Linked DNA regions of Tribolium castaneum. Each later gene encodes a partner of the first gene's protein in a complex. Links are inferred from orthologs where the notes say so. Each region holds a gene or a part of one and is shown on either strand. Other genes may lie near its edges. The genes, in order: Catsup and protein-L-histidine N-pros-methyltransferase.

Evidence for each region.
Region 2: the proteins of Catsup (region 1) and protein-L-histidine N-pros-methyltransferase are in contact, whole or in part, in a crystal structure (PDB 8GZE), measured with the Homo sapiens proteins. The link is inferred for Tribolium castaneum from reciprocal best matches to the Homo sapiens genes SLC39A7 and METTL9. Residues at the interface, in NP_001070984.1 of Homo sapiens: Gly65, His66, Thr67, His68, Glu69; in NP_057109.3 of Homo sapiens: Arg114, Thr115, Asn118, Arg123, Gly124, Met126, Met179, Asn210, Asp213, Arg214, Val241, His245, Tyr247, Glu249, Trp255, Tyr295, Leu296, Cys297, Glu298, Asp300, Tyr306, Val307, Leu308.

What each region holds. Positions count from the first base shown.
Region 1 is NC_087398.1:6,546,192-6,549,675, forward strand, and holds Catsup (protein catecholamines up), read left to right. Parts: upstream 1-1,424; 5' UTR 1,425-1,562; coding exon 1,563-2,582; 3' UTR 2,583-2,646; downstream 2,647-3,484. Other genes in the region: Ttc19 (tetratricopeptide repeat protein 19 homolog, mitochondrial), read right to left, coding at 2,647-2,726, 2,775-3,484. UniProt on the Homo sapiens protein: Transports Zn(2+) from the endoplasmic reticulum (ER)/Golgi apparatus to the cytosol, playing an essential role in the regulation of cytosolic zinc levels.
Region 2 is NC_087394.1:24,614,724-24,618,553, reverse strand, and holds part of protein-L-histidine N-pros-methyltransferase, read right to left. Parts: intron 3,376-3,830; coding exon 3,185-3,375; intron 1-3,184. UniProt on the Homo sapiens protein: Protein-histidine N-methyltransferase that specifically catalyzes 1-methylhistidine (pros-methylhistidine) methylation of target proteins.

The DNA.
Region 1 (3,484 bases):
AGATTAGTTATTGTTTTTCAGTGTCATTGCGAAAGGGCGCAATAAATAATTTCGATTTTTTTGTTAAAATTTGTTCACTCCACTCGTTTATTACACGCTCGGCAAACTTGAATAACAAACACGCAATTGCAGCCTTCGTGCGTGTTTGAGTTGGAAATATCTGACTGTAGGTATCGTTTTCTTATCACGACGTACTCATTGTTTAAGATAAGATTTCGGGTCTTATATTATAAAATTGCAATTTGCACCATTTTATTGCCGCTTGAAGCAATAATTAATAAAACACTTGTAAACGATCAATTAGACGACACAATGAAATATTTAATTTTTCTTACATTGGAAAAATTATAAGGTAAAAACAGCGTCGCCTTGAATTGAACGTAATGTCCTAGGTCACAAATGAGTCACTCTGAACGTGCCACAAAAATGCGTAAATGGCACGATTTTGATACGTTTGTTTGTTTTCGTTCTTCGTTGACTTTGAACTCGATTTCGACCACAAAAGTGTTTTTTTTATGAGCTTCAACATCCTAAAATGATGATACACCTGAGATAAAATTATAATAACAATTTCGCTTTATCCGGTTGTCGTCATTTTATTATCAATATGTAGAAATCAAGGAATGCAGTTATCTAGGAAAAATAGTTTGTTTTATTGTGTTTGCTGGAATTTACCAATTGTGACGAAAAAATCCCCTTTGATCTTATTATTTTTTATTTTGTAATTTTGGGTCGGTACTTTAAATTAGTCATTTATTTATCTGGACACGAGAAAAATCGTTAATTTATTGAGTACCCTACTCTTGGCTGATTTTTTCGTTTGATTGCCATCAAACGGTTTAATGTTCCACTTGATGTTCTTATCTTTTTTTTTTAATTATATTTGTATGTCCATATTCCTCCTTACCTGACTTAACGTAATTTTAATTTTGCTATTTTGTATCGATCTTTTGTTATCACCGATTGTCTGTATGATGTCATTACAGAAGAGAAAAAACTCAGTAATTTGTTTGCTATCAAACATTTTTAAGTTGTGCTACTTGTCGGTTCTTATCAGTTTTTGATGGATTTTGATTACTGTATCCAAAATGTATTAATCCTTATCATATTTCATATCATCATAGTTGAGGATGATGACATAATTCGATTTTGTAAGTTTCTTGGTACGATTTTTTTTAAAATTGATAACAATCTGTATTGGTGGTTGCCTATTGAAATTTATAGCTTAAACCAGACTTAAACTTAAGTTTATGATTGGTCGCATAAAGAAAGTACTTGAAGCTACAACTTGACCTTAGCATTAAGTAAATCAATCATTTATAAGTAATTATAGTGATAATTAAATTAAATTAAAATAAACTGGTAAAATAAAAATCATGGAGCGTCCTCTGGCGCCTTACTACTGACTTTTCCTTTGACATGCTTTGACAATTCTTTGACAGCAGTGACATTTTGACAGAAAATATGTTTTTTTGATGATGATGTGTGCCCCCGCCGGTTAATTCAAGTGTTAATACCCACATTCAGTCCCAAATCACGTATTTAAGTCTCCACATTCCGCAATGTCGAATTTACGGTTAGTTTTAATTCTGCTCGTCGTTTGTTTCTCATGGGGGCACGAGCACGGCCACTCACATGATGAAGCCCCCTCATTCAAGTACTCGAAAGCCGCTAACGAAAAGTACCAACCCCCCGAACCTCAACATCACACTACTACCTCCGAACTATGGCTGCAAGCCATGGGGTCGACGCTCCTCATCAGTGCAGCCCCCTTCTTCATCCTATTTTGCGTGCCGCTTGACAGCACCGACCGGGAACAGCCTCTCCTGAAAGTCCTACTGGCGTTCGCGTCCGGGGGGCTGCTGGGCGACGCCTTCTTGCATTTAATCCCGCACGCGGCTATGTCAGTCGACAGCCCCCATTCGCACTCACATTCCCACGATCACGAACACGGGCACGACATGTCAGTGGGGCTGTGGGTGTTGGCTGGTATCGTCACGTTCCTCTTGGTGGAGAAAATCGTGAGGATTGCCAAAGGGGGCCACGGGCACAGCCACCACAAGAAGAACGATGAGAAGAAGGAGAAAGCCAAGTCGGGGGGCGACAAGGCAAAGAAAGTCGAGCCAAAGGAAATTAAAGTGGCGGGTTATTTGAATTTAGCCGCCGATTTTAGTCACAATTTCACCGATGGTTTGGCAATAGGGTCGAGTTATTTGGCGGGGAATACCGTAGGGTTGGTTACAACGATCACGATTTTACTACATGAGGTCCCGCATGAAATTGGGGACTTTGCCATTCTGCTCCAGTCGGGGGTGTCGAGGAAAAATGCGATGTTGTTGCAATTGACTACTGCTCTGGGGGCGCTGTTGGGGACTGCGATTTCGCTTCTGGCGCAAAACAGCCTCATGGCCACCCAGTGGATCCTCCCCTTCACGGCCGGGGGCTTTATTTACATAGCGTTGGTGTCTGTGATTCCTGAATTGTTAGATGAAGAGAAACCCAGTTTTAAACAGACTGTTTTCCAAGTGGCTGCCCTGTTAGGGGGAGTGTTTATGATGGTTTTGATCGCAGAGTATGAATGAATACCTAAATATGTAACGGTTTTATTGTTTCCTTTGTACTTAGAGTACGCCTTTACAATAAATATTATTTTCCTAAAACCAATTTAATTTGGTCAAAACAGTAGTTTGCTTGTTCAACTGATTCGTTGTTTTCGAATTTTTTCCCTGAAAAAAAATCACGAGATAGGAGTCGGCAACCTTGTCGATATTTACCCAACTTCCACGCCTCCTTACAATACTTTTCTGCCTCCTTAGCTACGCCTTTTTCTAAAAGAATTAAACCTAAGTTTGCGTGGATTACCCCCAAGTGCGACTTGTCTTCGACCTCGCGCCCCACTGTAATAGCCTCCTTTAAGTACCCCTGAGCATTATCAATATCACCAGCGCGAAAACTGGTAGTCCCTAAGTCATTCAAAAGCAACATGCTTTGTTCGCTATTCCTCCCTTTGGTTCTTTTACACGCATTGTAAGCCTCTCTCAAATGGATTAAAGCCTGCTTAACGTCCCCAACGTCTAGCAAAAACTGGGAATACCAGTCCTGAATAACCCCATATAGCATTTGAGCGTCAACACTGTCATTTTTCTGTGTCTCTATTTGTTCAAGACACCACTTGTACCCAAGGTCGGCTTTTTCAATTTCCGCCTTCAACTGCGAAATTCGCGCCAGTTTTAAACTAATATGAATGACCTTCAAGTCTTTTTGGTCCAAACCGCCCCCAAGTAACAGCTGCAAGACACTGACAAATAATTTCTCGGCTTTATCCAACTGAAAGGTGTCCAGAGCCAAATTTGCCATCAAGTCGTAGCAGTAGATGACCCCTTGCTGGTTTTGCTGCTGTTGGGCCAGCCGTAGGGCCAAATGTAGCATCTGCTCGGCCTTCTCATACTGCTCCCTTTGCGTGCACAAGACGGCCCTTTTCAGG
Region 2 (3,830 bases), on another chromosome or scaffold:
CCACAATTAAAATCATTAATTCACTACCATGGCAATGGAATTAAGGTTCAATTTCCGAATAAATTTCACCCATACAAAAACCAGCCTAATTATCACTAATTTACTTTTAAACCCAATCCATATTAAGTAAATATTAATTAAACTTTTTGTCTCTCTATCATTTTCTCCGGTGAAAAGCTCGAACAAGAGAGCTCCATTTGTTATGCTCGGCCGTCTCGTTCCGTAAAATTCGAACACAATTAAACGATGAAAACGTCTTTTTTCTCATGATTTTACCCGAATGAGTAAACATGTGTAAGATCATCGCGGCCGCCTCGACCGGAAAAAATCCTTTTAATCGTTCCGAAGCAAAAAACCCGGAGAGTACATACATAATAAAAGCGCGCTTTTGAAGAATGTCAGACACAATGCGATGTTTTGTTAATTTTTCTAATTGGTGATTTCCCAGCCCTAATGACGGGCCCATCGGACATATGGTTATAATTGCGGCCCATGCCTGAGGTAATGTGCTTATGATTGCAAGGTAAAAAGCGTACAAAACACATCTTCCTGTTTTTAAATTGTCATTCTTTAATAATTTTATAATGACGACGACGTGTGTGTGACCTGCGCTTTATTAACGCTTCCACTCACCGAGCAGCTCAAATTAAACCAAAATTTCAGGTTAAATTTTAATTAAATAAGTCTTTGTCCCAGGAAATTGAAATTCTTAGGTTTTCTGAACTTTTACGTTAGAACCACATTTTTTAAAATTATTTAGTATTTTCAATACTGTAGATCGATAACACCATTGTTCTTTAATATTCTTGTCTAGGTGCACCGCATGTGAGGAAGTTGTTTTAAAAGTGGCACAATTTTTAAACTAAAACTGAAGAAAATTTCCAAAATCAGGGTTGCTAGCTAAATATTTTTTTTAGTCAAAATTGTTATTTTAACAATTATTTTTGACTTTAACTTATTTTTTGGTCAAAGTTCAGGCGGCAAAGAGCTAATGTTCGATGAAGACAACATTTCCAAAGTTCACAAAATTTTATTAGTTCGTTATTTTTTTAAATGCATGTGTTACATCACAGAACTCAGAAAAAATACTATTTTTAAAAATATTGCATGTGACCCTTCTTGCTATTAAAAAAATTAAGCTAGCCTTGTATCACCAGAACAAATGAAGATAGAAATTTGATAATCAAGAGCACTGGCTTTAGATACAAGACACTGTATCCTGATGTATTCGTTAATAAACGCTTTCGAAGAACAAAATTGCATACAAAAGCCATAAACATAAAGATTTTGAAAACGTGAGCATAATTTTTTAACAAAACTTCTAGTTTTCCACAAAAAAAGAAAAAAATTGTGTCTATGAAGTGAGATAACGTGCGTCCAATTTTCTCACAAAAATTTTGACTGGGTAGTTTCTGTTAAATCAAAAAACAGATTTTCGAGATTACTTATTTGAAAATATATTGAAATATTTTTGATTTCATAATAATATTGAAATATTTTTGTTTTGATAATAATATGTTTAAATATTTTTAGCCATTGGTGAGGAGGGGATTTTTGAATGATTTTTTTAATTGTGCGTGTCCCGCATGGTTCTGCTTTCGTCCCCTCGCTTAGCGTCTCTTCGAGTCATTTGTTTTACCGCTGCGTAAAACAAGTGAATAAAAAGCAGTCCATACATAATTCACTTTATGGCAATTCGAGGTGTGCGCATACAATTTTTTCCATTTCGGTTGGTGTCGGCGCTCTTTTTCGCCGTTTATGTTCTAACAAGTGATAGTCCAGTGTCCGCGAATTAGCATTAATGCAATTCTCGCTGAACAATTCCGACAGCCCTTTGTGTAGGTTAGTTATGGCGGTCGGTAAGATTAATGCGACGAATTAATTCAGGATCTCGCCGTCTGGCAGTCCTGTCTTCTTCTCATTAAACATGGCGAAGCTGCGTCGAAATAGTTACCCGACAAAAAAAGTGCCCATGCATAATTCTATAAGTACCGCGGATTATTAAGCTGCTTCTCTTTTTTAAAAGAGCCGTCGCCGTGTTAAAAATCGCACAAATAAAAGCGCGGAATTCTCTCCCGAGACCGAGGCGGGAAAAAAAGCGCCGATTAATTCGACCAAAGAATTGCAATTTTAATTAAGTATTTCAACCGAATTGCAACCGACACAAAGGAACCAACGTCAAAACGAAAAAATAGCACGAAACACAATTTTTCGATAGAGTTTTATCAATTTTCGGTACAAGTTTTTTCAGACTTTATTTTAATTAACCTGTCAGGATTCATGCGAGGAAGTTTGACAACGCATTTCGTGCAGATTGCTTCGTGTCTTGGATTAAACCAGCGCAAAGACATCTCACGAGAAAGGACTAAGTGTGGCAGTTAAAAATAATTTGCTTTTCTATAATAGGGAATACCATTGAATCAGTATTCTCTCCATCGAAATTTTTTATTACGCAATAGTGTCACAAAAGTCAGGAAAAATTTAAAAAAAGCTCTTGAATTTAAGTAGCATTTTTCCTTGATCTTTGTTGTTTTCTTCTTCGGATTTGCTGGGCTTCCTTAGTCACTTCTTTGCCCAGCAAAGCGCAACAAAAGTGATAATTAAAAATTCAATCCGAGCGAATAAAAATGCGCGACATCTCCATTAATTCTTGCAAAAATGTCTCTCGTTCGACCATCTCGAGATAATTACAAAGATTAAAATCGTTAATCAGTCGTCTTCTCGGAAATCTGTTAATTAAACAACAAAGCAAAAGGAATTCGTTCTAATTCTCTCGATAAAAAACTTTTGTTATAATCTCTCGTATATCTAAACTCGGCAGCTGTGACAAGGGCCGCCGCCGCCGCCCGATTTTGTACTCTGTGTTGTATCAATTTATCACGAATTTAAGTTCGCGCAAAAAATTAATTTCCCCTTTTCCCTCTAACATCTGGTCAATTTTTCATAATTACACTTTTTCGACACTGTGACGATAATTATCGACTAGAATTTTTTCCTTCGAGGGACCTAATGACTGTCGACCGCACAACAAAAAAACCTAATTATATAATTAGTTATGCTCAGAATGACAGTCAGGTAAAAGTTAGACAAGCCTTCTATTATAGTTGTTAATGAACAAACATTTTTCAATGGAAGGTTTTTTTACTCGAAAGCTATTGTGTCAAGTAATTAAATTAAGACTCACCCATTGATGGATGTCTGAGTCATGAACCAGCCCAGGAAGGCTTTGACGACCGAGTGCCAAATTTGAGTCAGAATCCAGTCGGATTTTTCTTCAGATTGTTGAAGAAATTTGATGGTTTCGTCGTCTGGTCCCAACTCGATGAATTTCGATGACAGGTCAAGAGGGATTTTTGATAAGTCGCAGTGGTACCACTGAAAGCGAAAAATTTGCAACAGTTAGGAAGATTTATGGATGATGGGTGCTTGAAGATATAAATTTCTGAATTGTCGGGTATTAGAGGTCATAATGTCGATACCCCAAGATCCTGTGCGATGAACCGTGGAGGATTTAGTACGTGATTGTCTGATAGTACTATAATTACAACCATTTCAAAATTCGCTCTAAAATGTCTCAAAACGCACAGACAATGAATTGGAATAATTGAAGAGTCGTGCAGCAATGTTTTAAGAAAATAAGTTTTAATTACCGAACGGTGCGAACCTTTCACGTCTCCTCTAAGCGAACTTTTCAATTTGGCGAATAACAAGGCAGTCGATTGTGAAGTTTCCGCGAGAATAATTAATGATACAATTCCCTTACTTGTCAGTGCAAAATAATCACTTCAGGTGTTCGTCAAAACGAATGCAAATCTTATGAATATTTATAT